6 linked regions of the Sus scrofa genome follow. The protein of the gene in region 2 purifies or fractionates together with the protein of the main gene of each other region. This does not show direct contact. Links are inferred from orthologs where the notes say so. Each region holds a gene or a part of one and is shown on either strand. Other genes may lie near its edges.

Region 1 (2,840 bases), on a different chromosome or scaffold from region 2:
TCTGTTGAACATCTCAGTCAGATGATCTTTCCAAAACCTTGTACTCTTAACTCCAGGGCACTGTGGAGATTGTCCCTGGCTCCCCATAACTGGCACATCTGGGGAAAGGATACAGACTCACCATGGCCGATGGGTTGGTCTGCCTCTCCCGTTCTCGCCTAATCTCACTCTCGATTGATTCTCGGATGGCCAGCTTGCAAGCACGTTGGCAAATCTCTGTCAAGTCAGCTCCAGAGAAGCCATTAGTCATCTTAGCCAGGAACTCCAAATCCACATCCTAAAAGAAGCGACAGAGCTACCTCAGCATTTAGCTTCTTCTCCAGTGATACACTGATCTTTCAATCAAGCACTCTCAATTTCAGTGTGTCCCATCTTCTGCCACCCTGTTTTACTCCTTAATTCTAGATTATCCTAATACCCTCAAGTCTTCTATCTTCCCTTTAAACCATAACCCCAGAAATCCCCAAAGGAATCTTGTCCAGGAACCAAAGAGAATTTTACACTAGCCTGAGGATTCAGAGAAATCCCCAAGACCCAAGATCTTGCACCTGCCTTGGCAACGGGGGACTTGCGCAGGTTGGCCTTGAGAATGGCGACACGGGACTTCTCATCAGGAAGTGGGATGTAGATGAGCTGATCAAGGCGGCCAGGTCGCAAGATGGCAGGATCAATGATGTCAGGTCGGTTGGTAGCGCCAATGATAAACACATTTTTTTTTGTGGACATGCCATCCATTTCTGTCAAGATCTGGTTGATGACTCGGTCGGCAGCCCCACCACCATCTCCAATGTTGCCACCACGGGCCTTGGCAATTGAATCCAGCTCATCAAAGAACAGTACACAGGGGGCAGCTTGGCGGGCCTGTGTGAGGGACAGATGGACTCAAGCATTAGCACAGTTGGGTCTCTTGACCTGAGAAGGAACGGAAAATAAAGTGACCTGCACTGCCCCAGCTGAGGTGCCAGAACCAGATGGTTTTAAATTCAATTCTCCCAAAGAAATAGCCTCTATCCCTAACTTGTCCCCAGGCAAGTGAATTGACAGTCCAGCCACTTGTAGCTCACCTTGTCAAAGATTTCCCTAACATTGGCCTCTGATTCCCCAAACCACATGGTGAGCAGCTCAGGACCTTTGATGGAGATGAAGTTGGCCTGGCACTCATTAGCAATGGCTTTGGCCAGCAAGGTTTTCCCACAGCCAGGAGGTCCATAGAATAGCACTCCCTTGGAGGGTGTCATGCCAAACTTGAGGAATTTGTCTGGGTGCTCCACAGGATACTAGGAGGAAAAGAAAGGTGGGTTCAGGGATATCCTCAGAGTTGGAAAGAAATCTAACCAAAGAGAAGATCCTCCCAAACCACCCCATGGCACAAGACCCAGGTTCCCTAAAAGCAGGCTCCTTAGTGCCTCCAACCTGAGGATAGTAGGTTTCTGAATTATGCTCACAATTTCTGCAATGAATGTGCCAACACCCCAATACTACCCAGTTCAATTACAATGGACTGAGGTAGAGACTCACCGTGGACTAAATACCCTACCTGGACCAGCTCCTGAAGCTCACGTTTGACATCCTCCAAGCCCCCAATGTCCTCCCAGGTCACCTGTGGCACCTCTACCACAGTTTCCCGAAGTGCTGATGGGTTGCTCTGGCTTAGGGCCCACTAAAAATGGAAGAAAAACTGGAGATGAGACTTGAAGGGGACAAATCAAAGTGCACGTGTGTGTATACCTGTGATATGAGAGCAGTGCCTTACTCGGAAGTCATCCATGGTAACTGCCAGGGAGTTCATGACCTCAGCATCGATGGTTTCGTCTTCTAGGTCAATGAGGTCCATCTTTTTGCGGATGGCTTGCAGAGCAGCCTCTGAGCACAGGGCTGCTAAGTCAGCACCAACATGCCCATGAGTTTCATTGGCTACCTGCAAAGAGAAGATCTACTTACTATCCTGTCTCTGAGCTGCCTTAGGAAGCTCGGAGACAAAAGAATTCTGGCCCCTTTCCCTGACTCCTATCTCTGGGCCCTCCATTTCCTGAACACATACTAGCAGTACTTTCACTAACTGGGTTTTAAGTATTCAAACATGGACTTGGGGCCTGGAAATAAAGCTGCCCCCAAAATTCTGCTTCACTCTAATCCAACCAAGAAACCATGCCAACTCTAATTTCCTGGATTCAATTTCATAACACTTCCCTTCCCCTGCTCAGGAATCAAAATCAGTTTCCTCACATTTTAAGCTTATGTCCCTAACTCAGTTCCCTTCAACTGCCTGGAAACAGATATCCTAATTTCTGGCCAGCCCTCATCACCACTCCACCTGTTCAAGGTCCACATCATCTGCCAGCTTCATATTCTTGGTATGGATTTGAAGAATTTCCAAGCGTCCTGTAGCATCAGGAATTCCAATATCTACCTCCCTGTCAAAGCGACCTGTATGACAATGCATAAAAACAGATAGGGTTCATTTCTGGTCCAGAAGAAGGGGCAGGCCTAAGATGACCAATCATCCTGGTTTACCCAGGAATCTCTTGGAATTAGCATTGCAATCTCCATATCCGGGGAAATCCCTCAGTCTCAGGCAAATTAGGATGGCTGGTCACCCTAGACACATGAAATAAGCAAAAGGACCCCTGGGCCCTAACATTGCATAGAGCTTTAAGAAATCCTCAGGATTAGGTGACTTAGATGACAGAGAAATATGGGAGTAACAGGATTTAAACCAGTAAAGCCATCATCGTCCCATGAGTAAGGACTGCAAAAAAGAAATTTTGGGTCCTCACCAAATCGTCGTAGGGCTGGGTCAATGCTGTTGGGTCTGTTGGTTGCTGCCATGACAATCACAT
Region 2 (4,058 bases):
GTTAAGTATCTTCACATTGTTGTGCAGTTGTCACCACTGTCCATCTCCAGGACTTTTTCATCTTCCTAAATGGAAGCTCCGTGCCTTCTAAACACTTAACTCCCCATCCTTCTACCTGAGCTCCTGCAACCACTGTTCTCCTTCTGAATCTGATTGCTCTGGGGACCTCTTGTAAGTGGAATCATACGATATTTGGCTTTTTTGTATGTGGCTTATGTCACTTAGTGTAATGTTTTCAAGGTTCGAGTTGTAGTGTGTGTCAGCATTTCTTCTTTCCTTGTCTTGGCTTTTTAGGGCAACACCCGTCGCATATGGAAGTTCCCAGGCTAGGGGTCGAAGATCTTAGTTTTGCTATTATTAGGTGCTATTGTGGCTGGATGGAGAGTCACTTCAAGAGATATGCTCATGAATTTAGAGATCAAGTGCTAAAATACATCATTTCCTTTCACAAATGGTTCAGCAAAAATGTGCCAATGCACAACTGCCGGCCTATACCACAGCCACAGCAGTGCAGGATCCAAGCTACATTTGTGACCTAGAGCACAGCTCATGGCAATGCCAGATCCTTAAGGATCGAAGCTGAGTCCTCATGGACTCTAGTCAGGTTTGTTATTGCTGAGCCACGATAGGAGCTCCCCAGCATTTCTTTTTTTAAGGCTGAGCTACAGTCCACTGTGTGGACAGGCCACCTGTTTGTCAGTCTGTCTGTCCACGGACCTTGGGTTTCCACTTTTCAGCTGTTCTGAATAATGCTTCTGTGAACGTGGGTGTACAGATAGAGTTCGAGTCCCTGGTTTCCATTCTCAGATACTGTGTCCGTTGGTGGAAGTACTATCTCCGTGTCTTTTGAGGAGCTGCCCTATTTCCCACAGCAGCTTTGCCATCCTTCCTTACTCCAGTTGATGGGTCTGCTGTCTTCCGGCGCAGCGAGTGTGGTCGGGTAGGATGGATGCTCTTCCGACACCTAGAGGAGCTACTTCTGTGGCTCTCTGTCTAGTGACAGCAGTACCTGAGCTCTCATGGTTTTGTTTGATGCTCTACTGTCTTGATGTAGAGGCACCAAAACAGTATCAGTCACCTAGAGGTGGAGCAGGACTTTCCCAGGCTGCAGATGGAGGAGGGAGTAAATGGAATCACGTCTGGCCTTGGAGCTTCTTGGGGGAAGAGTTTGACGTAGGCTTCGGTGCACGTACTACACGCATAGCATTCTTTTCCCCATAATTTTATGTTTTGAAGATACTTCAGGCAAAAATACACAGAATACTTAAGTGTTTACCACTTTCACTCACATGTGAGCATTGGCACATTTTTGCCGAACCATTTGTGAAAGGAAATGATGTATTTTATTAGCACTTGATCTCTAAATTCAAGAGTATATCTCTTGAAGTGACTCTCCATCCAGCCACAATAGCACCTACTAATAGCAAAACTAAGATTGGTAATGTCATCTATTATGTGTGTATATTCAGATTTCCCCGTTTGTCTGAAAAATAGGTTGTCAGTCTCAAGGCCTATCCATGTCACCTGGTGATCATGTCCACTTCAGTTTCTCAAACTGGTTTTCCCACCTTTTGTGTCGTCGTTTCCCCGCCCCCTCCCCCGCTCCACAACATCAGCCTTTTGAAGAGTCCGGGCGCTTCGTCCTAACACAGAACAGTCCATGGTCCACGGTCTGGACTCTCGTCCCTGGTGGCTCTGCTGACCTTGCTTTCTCTGCTGTCCTTGTGCCAGGCTCCTGTCAGTTGTCCAGATGCCGGGGTTAGGGAGCACTGGGGTCAAAAGTAGAATGTTCTGTGATGGCTGCGAGTGAACAGTCAGATTTGTAATTCCAAATAATCCACCTGCTCTAAAGTAACTTGACTGAAGGAAGAAGCCTAATTCTTTTTTGCCTTTCCTTCCTAGGACTGTGAGGAGTGCATCCAGCTAGAACCTACCTTCAGTAAGTGCCTTTCTGGGCTGCTCCTCTGTCCCTGATGTGCCAGAGAATTGAGAGGAGGAGAGAGCCTGCTCTTTGCCTGTGTCTTTGGAACCTTGCGTGTTTACAAGCTCACATTGGGCCGGGGATGCTGGTGTTGAGATAAAGGGGTGGCAGAGCAGCCTTCAGAGGTGTGTTTGGGGTGATGTCTCACCGCTCCCCTCTCTGCCTACAGTCAAGGGCTATACCCGGAAAGCAGCTGCCCTGGAAGCCATGAAAGACTACACGAAAGCCATGGACGTCTACCAGAAGGCGCTCGACCTGGATGCCAACTGTAAGGTGGGGCTGCGTCTGGCCTTCGGCGAGCTCTCCCCACCCGCCACTCCCCTTTGTGTCTTTGCGGTGTCCTTCACCCACCCCTCCTCGCCCGATTCTCTGTAGTCCGTCCCCTTCTCAGTGGCTTCTGTTGGTTACCTTGCCAGCAGTGAGCCGGGCAGTGCTAACGCCCTCCCCTTTTGGCTTTGCTGAAATGCAGGAGGCCGCCGACGGTTACCAGCGCTGCGTGATGGCCCAGTACAACCGACACGACAGCCCGGAAGATGTGAAGCGGCGGGCCATGGCCGACCCTGAGGTGCAGCAGATCATGAGTGACCCAGCCATGCGGCTCATCCTGGAACAGATGCAGAAGGACCCTCAGGCGCTCAGCGAGTAAGTCCGGTTGGGGGCGGGGTGTGCAGCCTCAGCAGGAGAAGGCGGACAAAAGCAGGGAGGGAGGCACATGTTGGCAGCAGTATGATGGGGCTGGGTGGGGACGTCTACTGTGTAATTCTTATTCAGGAGGTTGGCAGTGGTAGTGAGCTAGCGTTAGTGATGACGGCTCCAGCACTTCGTTGGGAAGGCCACTTTTGCTGGGGGAAAGGTCTCACTCAGCTGAGAGCTGTTGTCTGTGGACTCCTGCGCAGTGGGGCGGGCCAGGTTCCCAGCGCCGGCAGAGGGGGCCTGTGCGGTTCTCTGCTGGGCGGTCTTCACAGTTCCCCCTTCCCCACCTCCTGTTGGTGGCCTCAAGGGTTTGCAATGGAGCTTGCTCTGCGAGCAAGTAAATTTTTTAGGTAAAGTCTCATTTCAAATAACTTGGCCTCTTCTTTATCAGACACCTAAAGAATCCTGTAATAGCGCAGAAGATCCAGAAGCTGATGGACGTGGGTCTGATCGCAATTCGGTGATGACATGTTCGTCATCCCCCTTCCCTTCGTCCTCCTGTGGAAAGAGGAGCTGGGACGGCGGCACGCAGCACGGAGCAGAAGGGAGAGGAGGGGAAACAAGCGAACAACTGCTATATATTTATACAGACCCCTGTGGACGATGCAGAGACTTACACTCCGTTACTCGTGCAGCCGCTGCCTCTGGGCCCTCCCGGCACACGCATGGTCTCTTCTGCTGCCCTCGAGTTCCATGTCTCCTTCCCCTGCCCCCAGTCGCTGTCTCAGCTGCTCTCCCATAGTTGGTTATTTTTTATTTGGGACAGTGGGCTTGTATGGGGAGGGGAGGGTGTGCTTCCCAACCTCAGGTCCCAGCTGTTCTCACATTGTTAACTCCACGTCCTCTTCTCCAATAAAACAAGCCAGTCAGGCGTGGTTATACAAGGCTGTGTCCCTAATTTTTATGCCAAAAGATTTTGCTGTCCTGCGGGGTCACAGCCTGGGTTGGCAGAAGTGTGAGTGCAGATTGGCTCCTGAGAACCAGAGCCTGTCTGTCTGTCCTCAAGGGGTGGGGTCTGTGTGAGCTTGACCTGGTTCCACAGCCTAGTGAGGTGGCCGCTAGGTGGTGCTGTTGCTCAGTGAACCATTGGAGGGAAATCGGAGGCTCCAGCCCAGAGAGGCCCAGCTCCTGAGGTTCAGATGAACTTCCAGTTCTCCACATTCTAATCTCAAATCCACAAACCAGTTAGACCCAAAGGATGCTGGATCTCACCCGTGAAACAAAACCAATTTCCATTGCAAGAGATGCTTCAGACCTCCCTTTTGGAGAGCTGAAGTCTGTCAGCTGCTGCTTGTTAAGTTTTACTTCTTAACTCCCTGCCCTGGACTGAGCCTGAGCACTTTATCATGGTTGCAACAAACTTTCTAAAACCTTGGCCTGGGGT
Region 3 (3,500 bases), on a different chromosome or scaffold from region 2:
AGCCGTCGCTGATTCTCTTTCTTCATGGCCGCTTTCCCTTCTGCCTCTACAGTCGGGAAGAGCTCCTTTCTCCCTCTGCCGGGTTTCTCTCACCCACTTTGCATGACGAGCACCCCACCTTCCCACCCTCACACTGTCCAGGGCACCTCCAGGCAGGCAAGGACCCTGCTTTTCTTTTTCTGGTCAGGCAGTCATCGTTGCCCCGTGGGCAGGGCAGGCAGGTCTTTGAGGTGTTTTATTTTTCCTTTTTCTTTTTTTCTTTTGATTGGGCTGGCATGCGGAAATTCCCTGGCCAAGGATCAAACCCACACAGCTGTGGCCCAAGCCAAAGCAGTAATATCACTGCATCCTTAACCTCCTGCTCCACCAGGGAACTCCTCCATCTCCTTCTTTCTTTATTTTTGCTTTTTAGGGTCGCACCCTCGGTATATGGAGGTTCCCAGGCTAGGGGTCTAATTGGAGCTGTAGCCGCGGCCTACACCACAGCCACAGCAGCGCCAGATCCAAGCCGCATCTGTGACCTCCATCACAGCTCACGGCAATGCTGGATCCTTAATCCACTGAGTGAGGCCAGGGATTGAACCTGCCACCTCATGGTTCCTAGTCAGATTCGTTTTCTGCTGAGCCACAACGGGAGCTCCATGTAACTTCACTTCTCACAGCTGCTCAAAACTAACCACCGTTCTCCGTCTGTCTCTCCACCCCCTTTATCCTGACCAGTGTCCCTGGGAAAGCGAAATGGTGGTATTTGTGGATGCGGGAGCCAGGTTTTGTATCCTGGTGCCAGGGCAGCAGCTGTGTGACCTTGAGTAAGCTCCTGGACCTCTCTGTGCCTTCGGTTCTCATCTGTAAATGAGAGTCAACCACTGTGCTGTTTAGAGCTCTCCAGAGGGTTGAAGTGATTTCACGTAGAGTGCCGAGCCGGCCCGGCCTGTCATCACGGCTGACACTCCCAGGAGCCTTTGTCCTCTCTCTCAAGGGACAACAGGCCTGGTAGAACCACTGTCCTTTGCCTTCCAGGTGCAGTTCGGCCACGCTGGAGCTTGTGCCAACCAGGCTTCTGAAACCGCAATAGCCAAGAACCAGGCTTTGAAGGAGGCGGGCGTGTTTGTGCCCCGGAGCTTCGATGAGCTTGGAGAGATCATCCAGTGAGTGAACTCTGCGGAGGGTGCCACCTCCTTGTCCCTTTCCAGGTCCCTCCTGAGGACAGCAGCCTCTTCAGAATACAGGTCCGATGTCCCTGGGCCATCTCAGGTGTCTGAGGCAGCTCTGTGGATCGTCCAGAATTCTTTCTTTTTGGCTTTGTTTTATTTGTCTCCAGAAACAGCAGTTACAGGCGTTCAGACTGGTGTTAAAATGGTCAGTTTCTGAGCCTACCTACTGGCCATGTATGAGAGATGAGCACGGAAATATTTAGAAACTGTCACCTCTAATCAGTTGACAAAGAGCTGTTGGACAAGCTGTGGTCCCTTCCCACTCCTCCCCTCTGTCCTTCCTTGGCCTCCAGATTCGAAAGACCCACTCAGAAGGGAGGCACAGTTCTTGGCTAGAACCTATTTTCATTTAGTTCTCAAGAATCTGGAGCGCCCACTGTGGCACAGCAGGATCGGCAGTGTCTCTGCAGTGCCAGGAGGCAAGGTTCAGTACCTGGCCCAGCACAGTGGATTAAAGGATCAAGCATTGCTGCAGGTGTGGCATAGGTCTCAACAGCAGCTCGGATGCAGTCCCTGGCCCAGGAACTCCATTTGCCACTGGGCAGCCAAAAAAGTGGAGAGGGCGAGGGTTACAAGTTGCGGCTCAGCGGTTACAAACCTAATACCTGTGAGGATGTGGGTTCAATCCCTGGCCTCCCTCAGTAGGTTAAGGATCGGGCATTGCTGTGAGCTGTGGTGTAGGTGGCAGACGCAGCTCAGATCCCCCATTGCTGTGGCTGTGGTGTAGACCGGTAGCTGTGGCTCCAATTCAGTCCCTGGCCTGGGAACCCCCATGTGCTGCGGGTGCAGCCCTAAAATGGAAAAAAAAAAAAAAAAAAAGGGTAAAAAAAAAGATTCAGCTGGTAAGAGTAAGCTGCTGGTAGGAAGGGATACGAAGCTGGAAAACCTGAAATTTGGGGGTTAGATGAGAAGCGTTTGCGGGATGGCTTAGAAGAACCCAAAAGAGTAAAGTCCACATGGATGTCTTTTCTCCCTCCTTCCCCCTGGCTCCCAGGTCCGTGTACGAGGATCTTGTGTCCAGAGGGGTCATCGTGCCTGCTCAGGAAGTGCCGCCCCCAACGGTGCCCATGGACTACTCGTGGGCCAGGGTGGGTACTGCATGTGCAGAGTGTGCTGGAGTTCGTAGGTGGCCCTTTCTGACCAACGGGTCAAATGCAGGGCTTAGGAGGGCAAGGGGCCACGTGTGTCTCCTGTAGCTGTGTGGCCTGACCTGGAAACGGGGGGTGGGGACAGACAGTGTCCCCTGAAGCTGTTTATACCTGCCAGGAGATTTCAGGGCAGAGAGTCCACTCTGCCTGCTTGTCTAAGGCAGGGGCATAGATGAAGAGTGACTGTGCTGGAGTTCTCGTTGTGGCTCAGTGGTAACAAACCTGACTAGTATCCTTGAGAACATAGGTTGATCCCTGGCCTGGCTCAGTGGGTTAAGGATCCAGAGTTGCCATGAGCTGTGGTGTAGGTTGCAGACGCGGCTCGGATCTTGCGTGGCTGTGGTGTAGGCTGGTGGCTATAGCTCCGATTCGACCGCTAGCCTGGGAACCTCCATATGCCACGGGTGTGGCCCTAAAAAGACAACAACAACAACAGAAACAGATCGAAGCATTTCTTAATGTTCAGAAGGGATAATTGGCAATTAGTTAATGCTACCCTTGTTGTGCCCCAGCTCTGGAAATGGAAGATTTAGGAGCTCAGCCTCCTCCCCCAGGAAAAGGACACATTGAGGGGATCCCCTATTTCTCCAACCTCTGCCTTATTACACTTTGGCGGGGGTGCTTGTTAGCTGCGTGTGAAGTATTGACACTTCACTTTTCCCCTTTGCGTTCATGCTTCCATTTCTTAGCCAGGTGACCTGGGTCCGGTGTGAGATCAAATAAACCAATGGGTGCCCAAAGCTTACCGCCGTGCCTGGCCCTGCAAATACTACGGAAGGGCCAGAAACAGTGCCGAGGCTGAGCGGGTGCCCTGGCGTGGTCGCTCTTGCTTTCTATGCCCCAAATGATCTAAGAAAAGGGTTTTTGCGGGACCTTCTCGGGAGGACTCTGAGAGTCATTGCTTGACCGCCAGAACTTAAGACACCCTTGGGGCAGCCCCAGGAGAATCTCGTGTGGTCACCATAGCCCGCTTGCCTCTGCCCCCCTCTCTGCTCAGGAGCTGGGCTTGATCCGCAAACCTGCCTCGTTCATGACCAGCATCTGCGACGAGCGAGGACAGGAGCTCATCTACGCGGGCATGCCCATCACCGAGGTCTTCAAGGAGGAGATGGGCATCGGCGGGGTCCTCGGCCTCCTC
Region 4 (2,421 bases), on a different chromosome or scaffold from region 2:
GGTAATTAGTAAATGCACCCTGGAGTTCCCGAATGCCATTAAATTTACTTAGAAAATCTGGGAAAGCCATCTTCCCATATTCACAGGTCGAACTGTGCTAGATCAAGGTCTACTAGAAGCATCTCTAGTAAGCCACGTCCAATGCAATTACAAACACAAATTTCTAATAGGCTTGTATTGCAAGAAAACAAATTGCTCTGTGCATATGATCTTTAATTTGTATCCCAGATTTTAAAGTTCTTGTTTTGGTTTGTAGATTTCACTATTAGCTATAAAAAGAAAAAGCAAGCATTAAATCTTAAAGAATGAACACTTAAAATGAGGCTCCACAATTGAAATACAACACTAAACAGAAGACCAAAATGATTAAGCTGTAAAAAGGCATTTATGTACTTTAACTCCTGTAAAAAACCATTTAAGTTAAGTTTAGACACTTAATCTTCAAAAAGATTAAAAAAAAGAAGCCAAAGTCTGAAGTTTTCCACTTTAATCTTTACGCTGGTACATGAAGTTGGAAGAGACCATACCACAGGACAGCGTTTTCTGGTGTATGCCTTGCGCTCTGCCCGCAACGTGCGACCCCCAGAGATAGACGTGGTCAGGGTGACACACGGCCTGCAATGAAGTTCCCGCTGGCGGGTACAAACAAGGTATAATGTCAGAGTTAGAAGACAACATTCTTGTTTTCCTTAAGTTGTACCCATTTCAGTACTTTACCTGTTAATAGTTCTAAAAAAGTTTAATTACTCCTCTAGACCACCTGGTACACAAAGCAAACAGAAAAACTCTTAAGTTTTTCTGTAATACTAAAAAAAGTGAGATAAAACTTTTTAAAAGTTAAAGATCTATAGACACTTTAGGCAAAACAGGCTCATAATGCAAGTTAAAAAGTAAACAATTGAGTAAAAACAGACTACATGATATTTTGTTTTTACTTATTTTTCATTTGTCTATTGATCTTTAAATTAAATTAGACATTTCCACTGGTTTCTCGAACGCTTATACACACCTGTTTTCTCCAATGTCCCCCTTTAGTATGGCTGGTAATTATTTTGGTGATTGCCACCCCCTCGAGATGCCTTGCCATAAGTGCTCTGTTGGCCTATTTTGAAAAGACAAAAAAAGATGCTCAGTTTTAAATGAAATGCTTTCATTATAAATGCATCTTAAAGACTATTAAATATGCAAAATTCTGCATACCCACTATTAAAACAGTCAGATATTAAAGGCATTGTCAACTAACCACATCACATTCTAGAATGGCTGCAGTGACCAAAATCAGTATCATTTCCCATGACTATTAAATGCCTCAAAAAAGTAACTCCGCAAACACTTCAATAGGAAACCTCCCCTCCCACAGCCTCAGAATGGGCCTGTACTTCAGCACTGAACTTTCGTACCATTGGTTTATGAAGTTAAGTTAAATATTCTTACCACTGTAGTCTGCATATCCCTGTCCATATCCATAGTTCCCATAGTTATACCCAGTATAATCATAGCCGCCATAGCCACTATAGTTTTGATCACCACCATAGGCACTATTGTAATTTCCATATCCTTGATCATAATAGTTATTAAATCCTTGGTTCCAGTTTTGGCCCTGACCTGAAACAATGCACAATGATTGTTAGGAAATACCTTCTGACCTCCAATCCTAACATAAAATGATGAGTTCCTGTCTCTCACTCTGCAAAAAGTTAACAAAAGCAGAACGGTCATCTACATTGCTATCTGATCAAGAAAGTATTATCATCAGTTACCATGGGGGGGGGGGTGCGCAGAAAGTCCAATTGTGCCAGCATCAGGCTTCTTAAATTTAATGAAAAAAATCAGGACAAAAACAAAGGTGAAGACAAAGGTGTTTAGGTTTAAAATAAGGACTCTTGCCCTTGAAAACCTACTACACCAAAGTGCATCACCACGTTAACATGACATTTAATGGTGTTTTTTTTTCCCCATCAGCAATGACACCATCAGAGTGGCCATTCTTTTAATAACAAAAATCCACCCACCAAGCTGAGCATTTTCCATGTTGGAACAGTTGACATTTGACTTGACTTTGCTATGGGCCTATTCACATTTGGCAGCTTATAGCTCAGACCGCTGAGGCATTTCCCAGGCAAAGTCTCACCTCGTCCACGACCCCTAGTACCACCTCGTCCGCCAGCTGCAGCACCTCTTCCTCCTTTCTGTTGTTGCTGTTGCTGCCTATACACCTCTTTGGGTTGTGCAACTTTGATTTCACACTATAACCAAAATTAAAAATAGAATTGTTACGAAAGTCGAGCCATTTTTTACCTTCTCAAAAGAGGCTGAGTAATTTCACTTAAAAAAGTGCCTCATATTTTTCATTGAAGAGAGTCAAAATGGCTTTACCTTCCCAGAACCAATTTGATGATATCGGCTTTCTAACAATTTCTT
Region 5 (3,500 bases), on a different chromosome or scaffold from region 2:
CTTGACATCTTGACCCTGCTGAGGCTGCGTAGCAGTCTGGGTCTGGGCTAGACGCTCACTGAACGACACCAGCAACGCAACTATTAGCCCGGGGAGCCAGGCTGGGAGGACCACTGGGTGTGCAGAGAATCACCTCCCAGCAAGCCCATCTCTTCTTGGGCAGTAAGCTCTTCCTCTGGAAACGGGTGTCACTGGGTCCATAATCCACTTTCTCTGCCTTTCTCCCCTTTAAGTGACACCTCCACCCAACCTCTCACCCTCTGACGCTACTGCTTTTCACATCCCGCACAGCTCTGGCCCTTCTTGGAAGCATGGACCTGGAGCAGCTCTCGGGCTGGAGGAGTGGCTCTGCTGATGCCCCCCTTCCCCCACCCACCCCCAGGACCCCCCCACCCCCCCGCCCCCCGCAGCGCACCTTCGCTGATCTGCCGCATGTCCTGGCTGTTCTGGATGCTGTGGATCATCTCCAGCAGCACCTCCTTCTCCTGCTCCACGGCAGTGGCCGCTTCTCGCAGAGCTTCCACCCTGGGGACCAAGGGGGGCCAGATGTTATAACCCAGACAGCAGAACGGCTGCCTCATCTCCCCATCCCTCAGTCCAACTCACGGTTAAAGATGGTTAACCAAAAATGCCGTATTCCTTGTTTTCTGTGCTTTTAAGTTTTCTTTTTAATCCACTTGCCCTGCTGCTCCCATTTTCCTCCCCACTCACTGGGCAATAGTTCTGTTTAGCGTTTATTTATTTGTATTTGCTCTACAAAAAAACGGAATACTTGTGTGCTCGCCTATTTTCAACTTATTTATATCTCACTGTTTCTGCCCTCACGCAGTGTATTTTATGACGAAGCACCAGGTTCCTCCGAGTACGTGTAATCAGGAGCTCCTAGGTCTCGCATAAAATGCCACCTTGTGTCCCCACCTGACCTGACCTCCCCGACCCAGTAGAGATGTACCTCGGCGCCAGTTTTTCGTCACCTCCAGTAACAGGTCAATGACAACCTGTCCTCTCGGGGCCCTGATAACAGGCACCATCCCAGGGCAGGGCGGCTTCCTCGCAGGGTGTGCGGACCCTTCATGCAGCTCCATTCTGGATTGTTCTCCAGAAAGCCCCTGGGTCCCCACAGCCCTATCAAAGCTCAGCATTTCCCAACTTTCTAACCTTCTGCTGTCAGTGTAGTAGGTGCTGCGTCAGTACTTAATCTGCCCTTCTTTCATTACTCATCACTTTGGACATCTCTCCGTATCCTTGTGAGGCTGTTCGCAGCCTTTGCCTATCTTGCTTTTTCTTTTTGCACACTGGGGTTACTGTCCCCCTGCCATGTGCACACTCAAGGCGTTAATGCCCTGTTGGTGACAGGCCCTGCAACCACCTTCTCCCATCCTGTCCCCTGTGAAGTGTGTCTGGGCGTCCTTCATGGAGCAGAAGGCCTTGTTCTGAAGGGGTCAGGTCCATCTCTGCTTGGTTTGGTTTTACCTCACGGCTCATATCGGGAAGTTTTGCTGCAGGGCCCTCCCCTCCCCAGGTCCTGAGACGCTTTCCTGCACCCCCGTCTACTAACGTCTGACTTCACCTTTCCATGCTTATGTCCTAATCCACCTAGAATCCACCTTGTGTGTGTGGCTAGGGGAGATGTGTTTCTTTTTCTCCATATAGTGAACCATTTTCTCCAACGTTATCCATCCCCAAATCCATCTTTCCCTCAATGATTTGTAGATTGTCTGCCTCTGAAGTCTCTATTCCATCTTTCGGCACTGTGCCTGTTGTTATACCAACACCCTTTGCTTTTTCTTTTTAGGGCCGCACCCGAGGCACATGGAGGTTCCCAGGCTAGGGGTCAGATAGGAGCTGCAGCTGCAGGCCTACACCACGGCCACAGCCACGCCAGATCTGAGCCGCATCTTCGACTTACACCACAAAGCACAGCAATGCTGGATCCTTAACCCACTGAGTAAGGCCAGGGATCAAACCTCAAGGATCCTAGTTGGATTTGTTTCCCCTGAGCCACAACGGGAACTCCCTGAAGTACTGATGGTAGTTGTACAGACTCTTTTAAGTGTTTTGATACTTTGGATAGTGTTGGTATTGGGAATAATACATTTCTATATACTGCATTTTCTAGTTGGCTATTGCTGGTTGGAAAAAAAAATGCTGTTTTTGTAGTTCATGTTGTAGCTGCCACCTTAACACTTATTCACTTAATGGTTTGATTTTTGATTCCATTGGTTCTTCTAGATGGATGATCATATATATCATCTGCAAAAACGATAATCCTTATCTGTGCCTTTTTAATCCTCTTAGCTCCTATTTTTCTTTCTCATAGTACTGACCAAAGCCCTCCTATATAATATCAAACAATGGCCAGCACGGTGGGTTAAGGATCCAGTGTTGCTGAGCTGTGGCATTGGTTGCAGCTGCAGCTCGGATCTGATCCCTGGCCTGGGAATCCACATGCCCTGGGGCGGCCAAAAAAGAAAAAGAAAAAAAGCCCAAACGATGGTGATGAGCAAGGGCATGTTTGCCTTCTCCGAATTTAAAGAGAATGCCTCTGTGGGTTTTGGGTACGATGCCCTAATCAAACTATCAAAGCACCACTTCCCCCAACCCTACACAGGCACCGACTACGGACTCAGCCAGTCACTAAAGAACCAGGTTGTGGAATCAGGGGAGAAGAAAACAAAATCCTGTGTGTTTAAGGTGCTCTGTTTCCAGGGCATTTTCTTACATATATTACACCACAACTAAACAAGTTGCTGACTTTTGCAAAATAAATAGTGACAGATGTAGCTCCAACACTCAGGCGGCCTTGGAAGCACAAGATCACAGACCTCATCCCGACCGTGCCCTCCGTGGGCGCAGAAGGAACCACCAGGCAGTGTGAGCACAGGCCATATACGGATGGCCCTTCCCCACCAGCCACACGCAGGCCTTCTTCCCAATGGGCACCCACCTGTTGTCCCCCGAAATAGCACCGACAGACAGACGGTAGTCACAGGGTCTGAATTCATCAAGATACTAAATATACGCTGGACTCTGTGTTTATAAGAGCCAGCAGGAGCAAAGAGCGAGGAAGAATCTTATGTGACAAATTTAGCTGGAAAATGCAATCAAAACCAATAGTCTATCAAACAGTAAGAGCGCAGCATGAGGCTGTGTTCCAGCCCATTCATTACAGACTCGTGCCCTTTAATACACACTAGGGAATAGAAACTGGAATCTTCTAATATAACCTAGGGAACCTCAGGCACATACTCTAGAGCCTGGCACACACCAAAAGGGTCAGCTTGGCACCAAAAATGAGACATTCATGAAAAACAAAACATGACTCCAGCATTTCAATGGCACCAAAGAATTACTTGATTGGTAAATGAGAAGATGCCGACAGAAGAGATGAATTTTCCAGCCCTCCTGAGCCTGTATGCACATGTAGGATGATAAAGAGAGAACTGAGAGTTACTCTACAGAAGGAGGCCCATTTATGAGCGTAAGTTTCAACACGAAGC
Region 6 (3,931 bases), on a different chromosome or scaffold from region 2:
CCTACGGTGCAACCACAGCAACTCAGGATCCAAGCTGGGTCTGTGACACACCACAGCTCACAGCAACACTGGATCCTTAACGCACTGAGCAAGGCCAGGGATCGAACCAGAAACCTCATGGTTACTAGTAGGATTCGTTAACCACTGGCCCACAATGGGAACTCTGGGACATTCCAATTTTGAACTCATGAATAAGGGTGCTATGAACTTTCTTGTGTCTCCTGATGAGAACAGCTGGGTAAATAGGTACGTATGCATGCCTTCAACTCATTAGCTAACACAAAATTGTTTCCCAAAGAGTATCAATTTATATTCTCATCCACAGTGTTTGAAGAGTTCCTGGTGCTCTGTAACCCTCCAATACCAGTGGTAGATAGAGTACTATGCCACTGTGCTTTTTTTTTTTTTTTTTAAGCAAGCAAAGTCTTTATTAAAGAAAAGCAAATAGCTCCCAGGGCAGCTGGGAGGCGGGAGACGAGTCCCCTTCTCTATTGTCCTAGAGGGATTTTTATCTCTCAAAGGTGGGAGAGGTACCAACATGGGGTCCAGAAAGATGTGGTTTTCTCTCATTTTCCCACTGTGCTTTTAAGAGGCATTTCCCTACAGAATGATGAGGTTGAACATCTTTCCATTTGATCAGTTATTTGGATATCCTCTTTGAGGAAGTCTCTTACTCTTAAATTAGACTGCCTATGAGGAGTTCCCATTGTGGCGCAGCAGAAACAAATCCGACTAGGAACCATGAGGTTGCAGATTCAATCCCTGGCCTTGCACAGTGGGTTAAGGATCTGACGTTGCTGTGGCCCTGGCATAGGCAGCAGCAACAGCTCCGATTAGACCCCTAGCCTGGGAGCCTCCATATGCTGCAGGTGAGAACCTGAAAACACAAAGGAAAAAAAAAATTTAGACTGCCTATGACATGCAATTTTTACCTAACAGCTAAGTGGTGATCAAAAAGTTTGAAAATACAGTTCTGGTGAGAAGATGGAGAAACAGCCATACCCACTGATAAAAGGCCTAAGGCCTATACACTGACAACAACTCTTCTTCAAAATTCAAAACGCATAGGCTTTAAAATCCAACAATTAAATTCCTTTATCTACTTGCAAATATATACAAAGAACTTAAAAAGAATGATAGTCCTTTGCTGTACAACAAAAACTGACACACTGTAAATCAAATATACTTTAATAAAAAAATGACAGGCATGGTAGATCTGTTAGTAATAACAAAAGGTTCCAATTAATTTAGAAATCCAACACTAGCTGACTGCTTAATGACCTATACCTAGCCTTACAATAGAATTCAACTTTTGAAAAAGTTAGGTAGAACTCTATGTGCCCCAGGAGAGTAAAATGAAAAGACCAACGCGTTGCAATGTGAATAGTATCGGGCTACAAATCTAAAAAACCAGAAGTATACAGTTATAAACTTGTTTATACTATCTTCCTTAGGAGAAATAGGAAACAGGTAACAAATGTAACCTCTGGGTAGAACTGGGAGCAAAGAGTTTTAAGACTTTTCAATATGTAGCTTTCTGTGAATTCTTTTACTCTGTGCATGTAATAATATTCACATGGCTCAAAATTCAAAATTACAATTGCCCAAGAGTGAAAAGTTTACCTCTGACCTGCTTAGCTCCCTTCTCTAAAAGGCGACTCGTTATTATTTCCCTGAGCCTCTTTTCACAGACACCTAATATTTCAACTCACTTAAAACAAGCAGTTGTGGACAGAAAATAGGTTAAATTAAGTGACCATTAAGTGAATAAAAAGGCACCTGAAACTTACTCATCATCCTCCTCCTCCTCTCGCTTGTGTTTCTTTCTACAGTGATCAGAAACACTGCTGAAACAAACAAAAATCAAGTCAGATGAGAAATTTATTAGATCTACTCTACCTCCGATATCCTGCCCAGCCCAAACCTATCAGCTGTCCCCTTCCTTGCCGAGGGGGATGGAAGTGCCGGTAACAAGGTCAGTCAGGTATAAATGCTGGGTGGTCCTGACATGCATAGAAACTGCAATCTAAACTTCTCATTTGGTCGAAACCGTGGGAGATTTATCTGGGGCATAACAACGCATTCGAGACAAGGACTGTGCTAAGCACTTTATAATCTCACTAGGAGGACCCATTTCTGTCCCAAGTTGGGGATGAAGAAACTCAGTGTCCGAGAGGCGCCGAAAGGTTACCAGTAGCCGCGGCCGCCCCGCGGTCCGACCCAGGCTCGGGTCGGCCCGGGTTCCCATCTCCGCTCTCCCTGGGCGAACTCGGGACTTTCTCCTCACTCACCGAGGCACAGGCAGCCCGAGGTCCGAGCCGGACGCCCGCGCTGTGCGACCTCAGGCGACTTACGGTAACGGACTCTGGGGCTCACTCTCTGCCTCAGCAACCTGGGACGGAGAAGACCCCGCCGAGGGTCGTGGGGAGTGTCAACGAGCCCGCGCCTGCCCGCCCGCCGGGCTCCTCACCGTCCGCGCGCCGCGCTCCCGCCGGGGCTGCTCGGGGCAGCGCGGGGTCCCGGCCGCGGGGTCAGCTCGGCGCCGTCCGCCCCCGGCGGGAAGGCCCGGCCGGGGAAGGCCGGCGGCGGCTGCAGGAAGTCCGAGCCGCCGCTCAGGGGGAGGCCGCTGAAGGGCCGGCCAAGCGCGGCCATGGCCGGGGAGATGAGGAAGCTGCGTCCGCGGCCCCGACCGCCCACGTCCCCAGGCCCGGCGCTGCGGCCACAGCTACTGCCGTGAGGCGCCCGCCTCCGAGCCCGCTCCAGACCCCACGTCACTCCTTCTAGAACCCTCCACCCCGGACCGCCCAGGGGCAGGCCGGGATTTGTTGTGTGCAGAAGGCTGCCACCGCGAGGGCTGCCGGGACTTGCAGTCCGTACATACCACAGGCAAGATGGCCGCCTCGGCCTAGTTACCCAGGAGTCCAGGGTGACACTGGCCAACCTGGAGTAAGACCTGGGTTCGAATCATTGCTGTGCAAGTTAGGGAACCTCTGAACCTCAGGTATCGCATCAGTAAAACCCAAAAATAGTAGTATCAACGTTCATAAGGCTGATAGGAGAAGTAAATGAATGAAAACATCTAGAGCCCTTCAAACACTCCCTGGCATCTGGTACACATTTAAAATGAGCTGCTAATTCCTTCTGTTTCAACATAAATGAAGTTGGTAATGCCTTAGAAGGAACAGGGTGGAGGATCAGAGAACACCTCAGAGCGCTTGTGAGAGATCCTGGCAAGCCTTACAATCTGGGTCCAGGACTTGCCAGAGGGGCCATCCGAGTTGGTCATCTCAACCACTAATCACACCCATTTCCCCCATCTCAGGAAGCGGCACCAGCACGGTCATCTAATCTGAGTTCCTTAAACCAAAATCAATGCCCCTCAGCCAAAGACCACCAAGAATACACCTACATTTGAACAAAAGGTGGATTTATTGAGATAAGGCAGTGAGAGAGGGTGCCAGGAACAAGGTATTGGGAAAGGAGTCTCACTGGATTTGGGTGTGTCATAGGCGATTTGGGAGAGGGCTCCAGGAAGCAGGGCTCTGCTGTACGGGTATTTAGGCAATCTTTTCTAGAAGGTGGGAGGAATGAAGGGAGGCTAAATGTATAACTGGTAAAGAAACAGCAGTCCTTCCTATTAGCCAAGATGGGAGATGTTTGGTCACTTTTGTGGTTTGGACAATGTTCACATTTTTGTCTGTGTTCAGACCTGATTACAAAGTGGTCTTGTTTTTATCTTGATCCATTATCTTAGTGCTGGTTTGATGCGGATGTTCTGTGAAATTATTTAACATGAAACACCAGGGTTCACCTGATATTACAGGCCAGTTTCATCTGTCAGAAGATTTTTTTCTCTTTCTAATTAAAACCCTAAGCATCATCATTGACACCTGTATTTTTTGTTTGTATTTAATCAGTGAGTAAGGCCTTT

The links.
Region 1: the proteins of STIP1 (region 2) and VCP purify together in Homo sapiens (affinity purification with mass spectrometry; 4 studies listed by BioGRID, with this or other methods). This does not show direct contact. The link is inferred for Sus scrofa from reciprocal best matches to the Homo sapiens genes STIP1 and VCP.
Region 3: the proteins of STIP1 (region 2) and ACLY fractionate together in Homo sapiens (co-fractionation; 3 studies listed by BioGRID, with this or other methods). This does not show direct contact. The link is inferred for Sus scrofa from reciprocal best matches to the Homo sapiens genes STIP1 and ACLY.
Region 4: the proteins of STIP1 (region 2) and HNRNPDL fractionate together in Homo sapiens (co-fractionation; 3 studies listed by BioGRID, with this or other methods). This does not show direct contact. The link is inferred for Sus scrofa from reciprocal best matches to the Homo sapiens genes STIP1 and HNRNPDL.
Region 5: the proteins of STIP1 (region 2) and BAG2 purify together in Homo sapiens (affinity purification with mass spectrometry; 3 studies listed by BioGRID and IntAct, with this or other methods). This does not show direct contact. The link is inferred for Sus scrofa from reciprocal best matches to the Homo sapiens genes STIP1 and BAG2.
Region 6: the proteins of STIP1 (region 2) and CCDC117 purify together in Homo sapiens (affinity purification with mass spectrometry; 5 studies listed by BioGRID and IntAct, counting the BioPlex papers as one, with this or other methods). This does not show direct contact. The link is inferred for Sus scrofa from reciprocal best matches to the Homo sapiens genes STIP1 and CCDC117.

Annotation. Positions count from the first base shown.
Region 1 is NC_010443.5:235,856,873-235,859,712, forward strand, and holds part of VCP (transitional endoplasmic reticulum ATPase), read right to left. Parts: coding exon 2,778-2,840; intron 2,428-2,777; coding exon 2,315-2,427; intron 1,919-2,314; coding exon 1,754-1,918; intron 1,661-1,753; coding exon 1,538-1,660; intron 1,278-1,537; coding exon 1,065-1,277; intron 862-1,064; coding exon 553-861; intron 278-552; coding exon 122-277; intron 1-121. UniProt on the Homo sapiens protein: Necessary for the fragmentation of Golgi stacks during mitosis and for their reassembly after mitosis. Involved in the formation of the transitional endoplasmic reticulum (tER).
Region 2 is NC_010444.4:7,910,943-7,915,000, reverse strand, and holds the end of STIP1 (stress-induced-phosphoprotein 1), read left to right. Parts: intron 1-1,902; coding exon 1,903-1,939; intron 1,940-2,150; coding exon 2,151-2,254; intron 2,255-2,450; coding exon 2,451-2,623; intron 2,624-3,065; coding exon 3,066-3,138; 3' UTR 3,139-3,558; downstream 3,559-4,058. UniProt on the Homo sapiens protein: Acts as a co-chaperone for HSP90AA1. Mediates the association of the molecular chaperones HSPA8/HSC70 and HSP90.
Region 3 is NC_010454.4:20,831,178-20,834,677, forward strand, and holds part of ACLY (ATP-citrate synthase), read left to right. Parts: intron 1-1,020; coding exon 1,021-1,148; intron 1,149-2,208; coding exon 2,209-2,302; intron 2,303-3,359; coding exon 3,360-3,500. UniProt on the Homo sapiens protein: Catalyzes the cleavage of citrate into oxaloacetate and acetyl-CoA, the latter serving as common substrate in multiple biochemical reactions in protein, carbohydrate and lipid metabolism.
Region 4 is NC_010450.4:135,805,530-135,807,950, reverse strand, and holds part of HNRNPDL (heterogeneous nuclear ribonucleoprotein D-like), read right to left. Parts: coding exon 2,377-2,421; intron 2,247-2,376; coding exon 2,132-2,246; intron 1,606-2,131; coding exon 1,435-1,605; intron 1,103-1,434; coding exon 1,032-1,102; 3' UTR 1,010-1,031; exon of another isoform or gene 633-1,009; 3' UTR 1-632. UniProt on the Homo sapiens protein: Acts as a transcriptional regulator. Promotes transcription repression. Promotes transcription activation in differentiated myotubes. Binds to double- and single-stranded DNA sequences. Binds to the transcription suppressor CATR sequence of the COX5B promoter.
Region 5 is NC_010449.5:28,670,498-28,673,997, forward strand, and holds part of BAG2 (BAG family molecular chaperone regulator 2), read right to left. Parts: intron 526-3,500; coding exon 416-525; intron 1-415. UniProt on the Homo sapiens protein: Co-chaperone for HSP70 and HSC70 chaperone proteins. Acts as a nucleotide-exchange factor (NEF) promoting the release of ADP from the HSP70 and HSC70 proteins thereby triggering client/substrate protein release.
Region 6 is NC_010456.5:45,994,506-45,998,436, reverse strand, and holds the start of CCDC117 (coiled-coil domain-containing protein 117), read right to left. Parts: upstream 2,801-3,931; 5' UTR 2,653-2,800; coding exon 2,471-2,652; intron 1,848-2,470; coding exon 1,791-1,847; intron 1-1,790. UniProt on the Homo sapiens protein: Facilitates DNA repair, cell cycle progression, and cell proliferation through its interaction with CIAO2B.